Linked DNA regions of Oryctolagus cuniculus. The protein of the gene in region 1 binds, or shares a complex with, the protein of each later gene. Links are inferred from orthologs where the notes say so. Each region holds a gene or a part of one and is shown on either strand. Other genes may lie near its edges. The genes, in order: SNRPD3, GEMIN2 and SRRM2.

Evidence for each region.
Region 2: SNRPD3 (region 1) and GEMIN2 share a complex: the UniProt entries of both Homo sapiens proteins name them as parts of the SMN-Sm complex. The link is inferred for Oryctolagus cuniculus from reciprocal best matches to the Homo sapiens genes SNRPD3 and GEMIN2.
Region 3: SNRPD3 (region 1) and SRRM2 share a complex: the UniProt entries of both Homo sapiens proteins name them as parts of the minor spliceosome. The link is inferred for Oryctolagus cuniculus from reciprocal best matches to the Homo sapiens genes SNRPD3 and SRRM2.

The regions. Positions count from the first base shown.
Region 1 is NC_091452.1:31,112,523-31,116,267, forward strand, and holds the start of SNRPD3 (small nuclear ribonucleoprotein Sm D3), read right to left. Parts: upstream 2,633-3,745; 5' UTR 2,519-2,632; intron 781-2,518; 5' UTR 763-780; coding exon 637-762; intron 1-636. Other genes in the region: protein GUCD1, read left to right, coding at 2,748-2,958. UniProt on the Homo sapiens protein: Plays a role in pre-mRNA splicing as a core component of the spliceosomal U1, U2, U4 and U5 small nuclear ribonucleoproteins (snRNPs), the building blocks of the spliceosome.
Region 2 is NC_091443.1:36,514,798-36,518,442, reverse strand, and holds part of GEMIN2 (gem-associated protein 2), read left to right. Parts: intron 1-2,094; coding exon 2,095-2,163; intron 2,164-3,267; coding exon 3,268-3,378; intron 3,379-3,645. UniProt on the Homo sapiens protein: The SMN complex catalyzes the assembly of small nuclear ribonucleoproteins (snRNPs), the building blocks of the spliceosome, and thereby plays an important role in the splicing of cellular pre-mRNAs.
Region 3 is NC_091450.1:32,552,326-32,555,970, reverse strand, and holds part of SRRM2 (serine/arginine repetitive matrix protein 2), read left to right. Parts: coding exon 1-2,091; intron 2,092-2,334; coding exon of another isoform or gene 2,335-2,347; exon of another isoform or gene 2,348-2,835; coding exon 2,836-3,117; intron 3,118-3,462; coding exon 3,463-3,645. UniProt on the Homo sapiens protein: Required for pre-mRNA splicing as component of the spliceosome. As a component of the minor spliceosome, involved in the splicing of U12-type introns in pre-mRNAs.

The DNA.
Region 1 (3,745 bases):
GCAGTAATCAAACATGACCCCTCTTCTAAGAAAAAGAGCACACAGGTTTCTGCTCACTGTGTGGGGTGGTGGGGGTGGGAGGGTAATGGCCCTGAACCTGAAGAATTCTGCTGAAGGTGGTAACACCATTTCTCTCAAACAGGCCCCAAAACATGGGAGAGGCTGGCACTGTGGTGTAGCAGGGGAAGCCACTGCCTGCAACACTGGAATCCCATACGGGCACCGGTTCAAGTCCCAGCTACTTCACTTCTGAGCCTGCTAATGCACCTGGGAAAGCAGTAGAAGATGGCCCAAGTGCTTGGGTCCCTGTACGTGGGAGTCCTGGGAGAAGCTCCCGGCTCCCAGTTTCAGATCAGCCCAGATCCAACCACTGTGGCCATTTGGGGGAGTGAACCAGTAGATGGAAGATCTCTCCCTCTCTTTCTCTGCCTTTCAAATAAATAATAAATCTTTAAAATGGGGAGTTGGGAGGGGACAATTATGGGATGGAGAAGGCAAAGGCCAAAGTTAACTATTCCAAATCTCCATACGGTTCTTTGCCCCAGTACTGTCTCTTGCTCAGGCCCACAGTCCCGGAGCCCGCGGCAGCGCCTGCCACACGTCGGGCACAATGGAGACGCCGCCAGCCTCCCGTACCTGGCAGTTCATGTTGTCTTCTGCCTCGATGAGCTTGCCCCGATACACCTCGCCGGTGTTGGTCTCGCAGGTCACGATGTGGCCCTCGGCCTCGTGCAGGACTTTGATCGGCACACCGATGGACATCTCGGCAGGAGGAGAGTGCTGTGGTGGGAGACACAGCAGTGAGCCCAGCCTTCAGAGCCAGAGGCCGCGTGTGGTGCGCACCATGTCTCCCCAAGGCCTGGACCCCATAAAACCTAACACCGGTGCCAAAGCTGCATTTTCTACACAAGAGCAGCTCAGCTCCTGGCTTGGAGGAGCCTTCCTGGCAAATACACACAATATGAAGAGGGGAGAGACAGCGTGCTGGACAGAAGGAAAGCTCACGGAAAGGAAAAGAATCTCCCACCTACCTCCCTACTCCTCACCTGCTCCCATGTCCCTTTACCTAGAGACAGAGTAAGGGACACAGATACAGATACAGAGAGAGAGAGAGAGAGATCTTCCATCCGCTGGGCCACTCCCCAAATGGCTGCAAAGCCTGGAACTGCATCTGGGTCTCCCTATGTGGGTGGCAAGGGGCTCAAACCTCAGGCCATTATCTGCTGCCTCCCAGGAGCACTGGCAGGGAGTTGGATAGGAAATGGAGCAGCTGAGAATCAGCCTGGCACTCTCACGTGGGTGCCAGCGTCACAGGTGGCAGCTTAACCAGCTGCCCCACAACACTGGCCCCTCATGTCCCTTTTCCTTGGCCAAGATAACCAGTGACCAATGTGGTCTGTGTGTTGGGAGAGAGGCGCTCGGAACGTCCATGCTGAGCAACACATCTGCCTATCCACAGCTGTGGGTGACTGCATCCTGAAAACCACGATGGGGTGCAGCGGGTACACCGGCATCCCACAGGGGCACTGGTTCAAGTCCCGGCTGTCTACTGCCACTCCAGATCTCTGCTGATAGCCTGGGAAAGCAGGAGAGGATGGGCCAAATGCTTGGGCCCCTGAACCTGTGGGAGACCGGGGAGAAGATCCTGACTCTGGCCTGGCCCCCAGCTCCAGCCGTTGCAGTCATTTGAGGGAGTGAACCAGGGGATGGAAGATCTCTCTCTCTGCCTGCCCCCGACCCCGACTGTGTAACTCTGCCTTTCAGATAAATGAATCTTACAAACAAACCAACCAACCAGAGGACCCAGACATATCCAGGAGAGGAGGCTGTGTTTTTATTTCAGCCTCTGACTTTCCATTCGCTTTACTGTTAAAGCTAAAGAGAAAACAGCAAAGCGGTCACAAAGGGACAACGTGTAGGAAACTGCTTATCTTGGAGGAAAAACACAAGGATCTGCCGACGTAGTTGAGAGACAAGCAGTGGAGTTTTTATTGAGCCAGGTAAGGACGCAAGGCTGGCACGAAATAAGGGAGAACACGACAGGGCAGCCAGGCTCGCTCCGTGAGGATCCCCAGCCCTCCGCCGCCAGAGCTGGAATGTTACGTTTCAGAGAGCACGGAACCAGCGCGGGATCTCAAGGAAGGAACGACCCAATGGAAAGGTATCAGCGTTTACAGGCCAAATCGAACACACAGTTCAGAAGCAGAGGAACTTCGGAAAACGCTTTTGCAATGGCGTGGAAAGCACGAGGGGCTGCATCAGCGCCGGAAAAGGGGGCTGGAGGCCAAGGATGACGCCGATGGAGTTCAGGGACGAGGCTAAGCAGCCAGAAACGAGGGGGAGGTAACGAACTCACTCCCCAGGCTCAGGCGAGGCGACGCGGGTGTCTGGGTGTCCCGGCTTCCCGCTTCCTTCCCTCCCGGAGCCCTGCGCGGTTCCTTGCAGCGCGTCCTGCCCCAGCCCCCGATCCCTCACGAGCGCCTAGGCCTCCCCTTTCCCGTCCCCGGCCCCTACTCACCGGCTCGAGCCCCTTCTTCCTCCTCTTCGGTGCTGCGACAACAACTGCGAGAGAGAAGGCGTGAGCGGGGCGAATGGCGGGCCTTGCACTCCCAGAATACCACGCGCTCCCAGAATGCCGCGCGCGGGGACCGTCCCAGAGCGCGAGCTCGTCTCCGCTTCCTCCTTACTCCGCCGGCTGGGAAACGCGGACCCAGGTACGATAGTTCCGGCGCCGGAAGAGAGGGCTGATGACAGGGCCCGGGGGCCGCCGGAAGCCCCGACGCGGGGGCCCGAAACGGGAGAGGGGGGCTTGCGCTTCCAAGCACCCCTCACAAAAGACTGGCTGGACGACAAGGAGGGGATCTACAGCCTGGGTCCTCGGATCCGGGGCAGCAGGAAGTGGGAATGAGGGCTGGGACCTCCCCTCACAATTTAATCTTTGGAACCCGGCACTGCCAGGTAACGGGAACTCTCAGAGAGGGGAGGTGTCGTGTCTGGACAGAGAAACTGAGGTACCAAGTGGAGCAGGGGCCGGCTCAGCACTAAAGAGATCAGAGTACGGTTGCCTGGACCCTAGGCAATCACAGGGCCGGAGCCGGCTTACAGCTGAAGCCGGCAAAGGGGTGGGGCCTGGCAGAGGCGGGGCTTGCTGAGGGAAAGAGCCCCTGGGGAGCCAGTGTTTGCGCTGCGCCGAGCCCTCGGGGAGGGGCTCAGAAGGGGCGGAGCTTCCGGGGGACCGAGCGAAGGAAGGGCCCGCGCGTCTGCGCGAGGATTCGGTAAGGGGGCGGAGCTACCAGAAACCGAGACTGTGAATGGCCAGGCCGGGCTTAAATCATGAGGCTGGAAGCCTCTAGGAATCGAAGTCTGGGACTGGGAAGGGGCGGGGATTAGGGGAGGGGCGGGGCCTCCGGATCCAAGACCTGGAGTGGCTGGGGCGGGGCTTGGGGCTGCCCGGCCGCCGCCTCCGCTTCTCCCCGCTGTGGCGGTGGCGGCGGCGGCTACGGCGTTCGACACGCATTGGCTGCGCTCCTGCGCCAGCTGAAGCCGAAGCTGCAGCCCGCAGCGGGCCGGGGCCATGGGCGCCCCGTGCTGCGCGGGTCATGAGGACGGAGGCGGAGGCAGCGGGGCCGCCGCTCGAGCCGGGTCAGTGCCTCTCTCTGAGGGCCCAGCCCTCAGCCCCGGGGAATGAGGGGGACCCCGCCCTAGCGCGGAGCAGGGTCCATCCGCGCGCGTCCCTGGCCGTCTC
Region 2 (3,645 bases), on another chromosome or scaffold:
AGCTGTCATTGTAAATTCTATCAGTGTAGGTTTTTTGGTAAGCCATATTTGAATAAGCCACAGGATGTTTTTTCAAGAGTTTGATAAATTCTACCTGTATAGCTGTAAAACAGGTCTTTCTAGATTTGTTTCTTCAGATTTGTACTTTGTTTTGAATTGAGAAATGGACTAAAGGTAAAGACTCTTTTTTTGAAGAGTTTGTCAAGTTTTTCAAATAGTTTTAAATTATATTAGTAGTTACAAACTAAATCCTAGTATTTTAATCAAGGCATTCATTGATATTTGAAAGTATAGGAATATTTGTCTTAGAAGCCTATTCCCACCCCAAATCCCCTTAAGCTGGATGGTAAAAATAGCATTTTAAGTGTTAAAGCATTCATATAAATAGGAGTAAGTGTCTGGATTACATTTCTGTAATAATAGAATTAAAAAGGAGTCAATGCTCCAACATGGGCATCAGTTCATAAAGCAGACTGATAGAATGACAATTGCTTTAAGTAGCACTCTGACCTCAGAATCAGCCCTTAAAGCATTCTGGTCTACCTGAAAAGCCCATGGAGATCATTTCAGGCATGGAAAGCCAAGACACTATGGCAAAAAATGTCCTACATGAAGGACTTCTGTGGGTGAAACTCCAGTAGAAGTGGTGGTCATCAAAGAAGGATGTACTTTTTTCTGCAGGGAGGAGAGAACTTCCACTTTGCTTATGGCCTTGTCTAAATTTTAACAAATTCTGACTTAATTAACTTTAAAGAAGCACCAAGAACGATACATCTTTTGTGAGCAATTAGACATACCTATAACTTATAAGACCTTGATTTATACAGTAAAAGAAAATAAGTCCATACAGTTCTGACGGAGTTTGTGAATTCAGAAGGCTTACATACCTTAGACAGCACTTGTCAAGAGCCTCAGGTGGTCACTGACATCATACATAAGAGTGTTAATTGTTAAATTAACAACAGGAGTCATTGTGCACTAACTTCCCATGCAAGACCTCTGTCCTCCAAAGAGTTGTGTTATCATAGTTAACAGTGAAACTTGTTCTCAAAGATTTATTTTGTTTTAGTGTATTAAGTGAATGATATTTTTAAGTCTCATAAGTTTTACATCTGCCTAAGTGTCCAACTCCTTTGCTTGTTTTCTTAGGTGCTTCCTTAACTAATGATAAAATTTGTTCTCAAGGACTTATTTTCTTTTATTAAGTGGAGGTCTTATGTCTCATAAGTTATAGTTATGTCTAATTGCTCCCAAAAGATGTATCATTCTTGAATGCTTCTTTAAACTTAATTTTCTCAAAAAAAAAAAAAAAGGTAAAATTAACTTCGAGATATAATGACCTTGAACAGCCCTTGTCTCAAGTGTTGAGAAACAGTTTTGTGTGTGTGTGTGCAAATTGTTGAACTCTTTACTTAGTATAGAGTTGATCTTCTGTGTATAAAGTTGATTGAAAATGCATCTTAGGGCCGGTGCTGTAGCTCAGTAGGCTAATCCTCCGCCTTGTGGCACTGGCACACCGGGTTCTAGTCCCGGTCGGGGCGCCGGATTCTGTCCCGGTTGCCCCTCTTCCAGGCCAGCTCTCTGTTGTGGCCCGGGAGTGCAGTGGAGGATGGCCCAAGTGCTTGGGCCCTGCACCCCATGGGAGACCAGGAGAAGCACCTGGCTCCTGGCTTCGGATCAGCACGGTGCGCCAGCTGCAGCGCGCTGGCCGTGGCGGCCATTGGAGGGTATGCATCTTAGTGGAGAATGGGACTGGGAATGGGAGAGGGAAGAAGAAGAGGGGTGGGAGTGTGGGTAGGAGGGAGGGCAGGTATGATGGGAAGAATTACTGTATTCCTAAATTTGTACTTAAGAAATTCTGAAGTTTGTATTCCTTAAATAAAAGGTTTCTTTGGTTTTTTTGGAAAAAAGAAAGCCTATTCCCAGAGGTGACTCTTATTAATGAGTCAGTTTTCTTTGGAAATCTAAAGAATGAGACAATCTTAAATGTTGCTTTCTAACTAAATTTAGTGAAACTCCTATTGAATTTGTCAGTATTTATTACTAATATTATAACTGTTCTGTGCCACTATCCCCCCCCCCCCTTCTTTTTAGGCAACAGTAACTAGTGTCTTGGAATATCTGAGTAATTGGTTTGGAGAAAGAGACTTTACTCCAGAATTGGTAGTGTTATCTTTTTATTTTCATAATTCAGTTTTATTTTCATAGGATACATGAGGTGTGACTGTATGGTATTTGTGTGTGTGTGTGTGTATACTCAAATGTGTTACTAGCCTTGTGCCACACCATGATGTTTTTGGGCAAGGAGGGCTTCATCTACAGTAGTGGTCCTCTAAGATTATATAGCCTGGTCTTAGTTTGTGTAAGTACTTGCTATGTGTATGCATAATGACATGATAGCCTGATAATGTATTTCTCAGAATGTGGCCCTGTCCTTAAGTGATACATGACAGTATACGTGTAATCTGAACTATGCTTGTTTGTGGTGCAATAAGGAACCTACACCAGGGTGTAAATCAACATACTGCTTCCTTCGTTGACAAAGTCTTCCTTTGGCAGGGAGGGGGAAGAGGACAAATGTCAACCAAAGAGTTAATTTATATCCTGGTACAAACTACTTATCTCAGTGCTGAGCAGTAACAGTGTGCTCACAGGCTGGCAACAAGTCTGCAAACCCCACTTCCAGTGGCACTGGTTAAAGTTTAGAATGCATTTTCTAAAATGACCTTGAAATCAGTCCACAAAAGGATCAGAAGTAACAACAACAGCAAGTACTACATGCTAGACATTATTCTAAGAACCTTACATATAATAATTCATTGGGCCCTCAACAATTTATTAACTGTTATTATCCACAATACTCAATTAACATAATACAGCTTGTAATTGGCAGAATTCAGACTCAAGTCAGGGCAGTCTGGCTCTATTTCTACACTGTTAGAACTATGCTACACTGTGTTTACTTTATTGCTTTATATTCACAACTCATTTTTTTTTGGCCTTAAAAGTTGGGTTAATTTGATGAATATTTTTAAATGAATTACCTGTTTGTTCTTTCTAATTTTAATAAATTTTATCATCTTTGAAAGATTTAGTTTTTAGAAACCAGCAGTGTTTCACAGCTAAAGATATTTGTGAAAGAGTGTATCTGAGGGTCTAAATGTAACACAGTAATGAGTTGTATGAATTTATTCATGGAAGATAACCAGGCACAGCTTAGAATATTTAAACTTGTGATTTAATAGTTTTTTTTTTAATCCTATTTAGGGAAGATGGCTTTATGCTTTATTGGCTTGTCTTGAAAAACCTTTATTACCTGAGGCTCACTCATTGATTCGGCAGCTTGCAAGAAGGTGCTCTGAAGTGAGGCTCTTAGTGGTAAGTTTCACCTCACTTTTCCAAATTGAAAGCATCCAGCAGTTTTTATAGTGGTGAAAAATTCCAATAGAAGGGAGACCTTTGGCATATTTTGTTAGTTGCAATTAGAATTGGCCACATAACAAGAAAGTGGAAAATACTAGCAACTTAAATAAAATGGCATTGTTGTCCTCAGATAAAGGAAGTAGGCAGACAAGATGTAATATAGCAGTAACCCAGGCCTTTGGGTTCTGCCACATGTGGCTTCCTCAGGTTCATCTCAGGATT
Region 3 (3,645 bases), on another chromosome or scaffold:
CAGAACACCCCTGATCAGCCGGCGGAGGTCCAGATCTCGGACCTCACCAGTTAGTCGGAGACGGTCGAGGTCCAGGACATCCGTGACTCGGCGAAGATCTCGGTCAAGAGCATCTCCAGTGAGTCGAAGGCGGTCCCGGTCCAGAACACCACCAGTGACCCGCCGCCGTTCAAGGTCCAGGACACCGACAACACGCCGGCGCTCCCGGTCCAGAACTCCACCAGTGACTCGCCGGAGATCCAGATCAAGGACTCCCCCGGTAACCCGGAGGCGGTCTCGGAGCAGAACCTCGCCCATTACTCGCAGAAGATCAAGATCCAGAACCTCCCCCGTCACTCGCAGGAGGTCTCGGTCTCGCACATCTCCAGTCACTCGGAGGAGGTCTCGCTCCCGAACCTCCCCCGTGACACGCCGCCGCTCGAGGTCTCGGACACCTCCAGCTATCCGGCGCCGTTCTAGGTCTCGCACACCGCTGCTGCCTCGCAAGCGGTCCCGCAGTCGCTCACCACTTGCTATCCGCCGCCGTTCTAGGTCCCGTACTCCACGAACAACTCGAGGCAAGCGTTCCTTAACACGGTCTCCTCCAGCCATTCGCAGGCGCTCGGCGTCTGGAAGTAGTTCAGATCGTTCACGTTCTGCTACTCCTCCGGCAACGAGAAATCATTCTGGTTCTCGGACACCTCCAGTAGCACTCAACAGCTCCAGAATGAGCTGCTTCAGTCGCCCTAGCATGTCACCAACTCCTCTCGACCGCTGTCGGTCACCTGGAATGCTTGAACCCCTCGGCAGCTCTAGAACACCCATGTCTGTCCTGCAGCAGGCGGGTGGCTCCATGATGGACGGTCCCGGCCCGCGGATACCTGATCATCCCAGAGCATCTGTGCCAGAAAATCATGCCCAGTCTAGGATTGCACTTGCCCTGACAGCCATCAGTCTTGGCACTGCCCGACCACCTCCGTCCATGTCTGCTGCTGGCCTTGCTGCAAGAATGTCCCAGGTTCCAGCTCCAGTGCCTCTCATGAGTCTCAGAACGGCCCCAGCTGCCAACCTTGCGAGCAGGATTCCTGCAGCCTCTGCAGCAGCCATGAACCTGGCCAGTGCCAGGACACCTGCCATTCCAACAGCAGTGAACCTGGCTGACTCACGAACACCAGCTGCCGCAGCAGCTATGAACTTGGCCAGTCCCAGAACGGCGGTGGCACCATCAGCTGTGAACCTTGCTGATCCTCGCACCCCTGCAGCCTCAGCGGTGAACCTAGCAGGAGCCAGAACCCCCGCAGCCTTGGCAGCTTTGAGCCTCACAGGCTCGGGCACGCCCCCAGCTGCTGCAAATTACCCCTCCAGCTCCAGAACACCCCAGGCTCCAGCCCCTGCAAATCTGGTGGGTCCCCGGTCTGCACATAGTGCGGCTCCTGTGAATATTGCCAGCTCCAGGACCCCTGCAGCCTTGGCTCCTGGAGGTCTTACCAGTGCTAGGATGGCTCCAGCATTGTCCGGTGCAAACCTCACCAGTCCCAGGGTGCCTCTTTCTGCTTATGAGCGAGTCAGTGGGCGAACCTCACCACAGCTCCTCGACCGAGCTAGGTCCAGAACACCGCCATCTGTCCCTAGCCAATCTAGAATGACCTCTGAGCGGGCCCCGTCCCCTGTCTCGAGAATGGTCCAGACCTCCTCACAGTCTCTTCTCCCTCCAGCGCAGGATAGGCCTAGGTCCCCTGTGCCGTCTGCTTTTTCAGACCAGTCTCGTTCTTTGATGGCCCAGACCACCTCTGTAGCAGGCCCTCAGCCCCTTTCCTCTGGGGCAGTGGCAAAGACCATGTCCTCCGCTGGTGACCACAATGGCATGCTCTCTGGCCCTGCCCCAGGGGTGTCGCACCCCGAGGGTGGGGAATCACCTCCTGGGTCCCAGCAGTCTGCATTGGCCGCCCTGCAGCCAGCAAAGGAGCGGCGGAGCTCCTCCTCCTCCTCCTCCTCCTCCAGCTCCTCCTCTTCCTCCTCCTCGTCATCGTCGTCATCATCCTCTTCTGGCTCCAGTTCTAGCGACTCGGAGGGCTCTAGCCTTCCCCCTCAACCTGAGGTGGCACTAAAGAGGTGAGGGGACTTGACTAAGAAATTTTCTAGGGGAAGGTGTTGGGGTTGGGTGGGGGAGTGGGGAGGGAGATAACCGTGTCACAGAGGTTCTTGGCTCTTTGAGGAGGTATGGGGGACCTTGACTTTGAAGCTTGGGGTAGAAGAAAATGTTTGGGTGGGGGCTGAGGGGGGAGGAATGGGACAGATGAAAGTCTCCGAAGGTTGATTCTCTAGAGGATAATGATAAGTTTTCCGTCTCTACAGAGGACAGAACTAGAGGAAATGGACTTAATTTTACAGCAGGAGGGATGGCAGTTAGACCTCAAGAGGAACTCCCTGGGCTGGAAGGATCTTCAGAGGTCATCCCATCCCTCTCCCTGCCTCCAGGCAGGACGGCCCCTCCCAAGCCACCCTGCACTCACAGGGGCCTCCCCAAGCTGCGGCTCTCCCAGGAAGGAGACCACCTAGCTTCAGCTGCCGCACGCGAACCCAGGGCCTTATTCCTGCATCAGGGACATTCTTGAGGTTTAGCCTTGACTCCCTAGTGCTGCGGGCCCCAGCCTGTTGCTTGTGTTAGCAGAGGTTGGGCTAGCTCTGGCCACTGCTCTCCAGAGAACGTGCTCACTGGCTCGTGTCCTCAAGGCTGGGAGAGCTCCCAGGGCCTTCTTCAGGCACCCCTCCCCCACTGCCATTCCTCCAGACCAAGGAGGGTAGGGTGGGGGCTGGGGCAGCTTGTCTCCTTGTGACACTCCTCTTCTCCTGCAGGGTCCCCAGCCCCACCCCGGCCCCAAAGGAGGCTGTTCGAGAGGGACGTCCCCAAGAGCCAACCCCAGCCAAACGGAAGAGGCGTTCTAGCAGTTCCAGTTCTAGCTCCTCCTCGTCATCTTCCTCCTCCTCCTCCTCTTCCTCCTCCTCCTCCTCCTCCTCTTCCTCCTCTTCCTCCTCATCTTCTTCCTCCTCTTCCTCCTCCTCCTCCCCTGCTAAGCCTGGCCCTCAGGCCTTGCCCAAACCTGCAAGCCCCAAGAAGCCACCCCCTGGCGAGCGGAGGTGAGTACTGCCTTGCCTGAAATAGAAGGGGTGGGGGGTGACTTATCCAGAGAAGGGACCCTGGGGTGAGGTCCCTGCTGGGTGTCTCATGTGGATGTTGGTGTTTGGTCATATCTGAGGAGTTGGGGCACTCTTCCTGCCCCACCTGCTCTGTGTAACCCCTGGTCTGGCAAAGGCTGCAGGATCAGAGTACATCCTCAGGCCAGAGCCGGGGAGTCCTAAGTCTCTTCCTTTCCTTCCCCCACCATGCAGCCTGCTCCCAGGGATTCTAGCTTTAAGTCTCCCCATTGTTACTGCCAGGGCTCTGGTCTGGCCACCGTCGTCATCTCCCGACTCTGTCCACAGCCTCCTCCCTGTCTCCCTGCCTCCACGCCATTCTCTTCCACACGTAGCCAGAGGGATCTTTCTAAAACGCACATCTGGTTACTTCCCTCCACTCCACAAATCCTTCCGGGACGCCCTGTGGCCTGCAGGACAAAGCCCCGCCTCTGCAGGAATGGCGTGTGAGGCTCTTCACCAGCTGGCCTT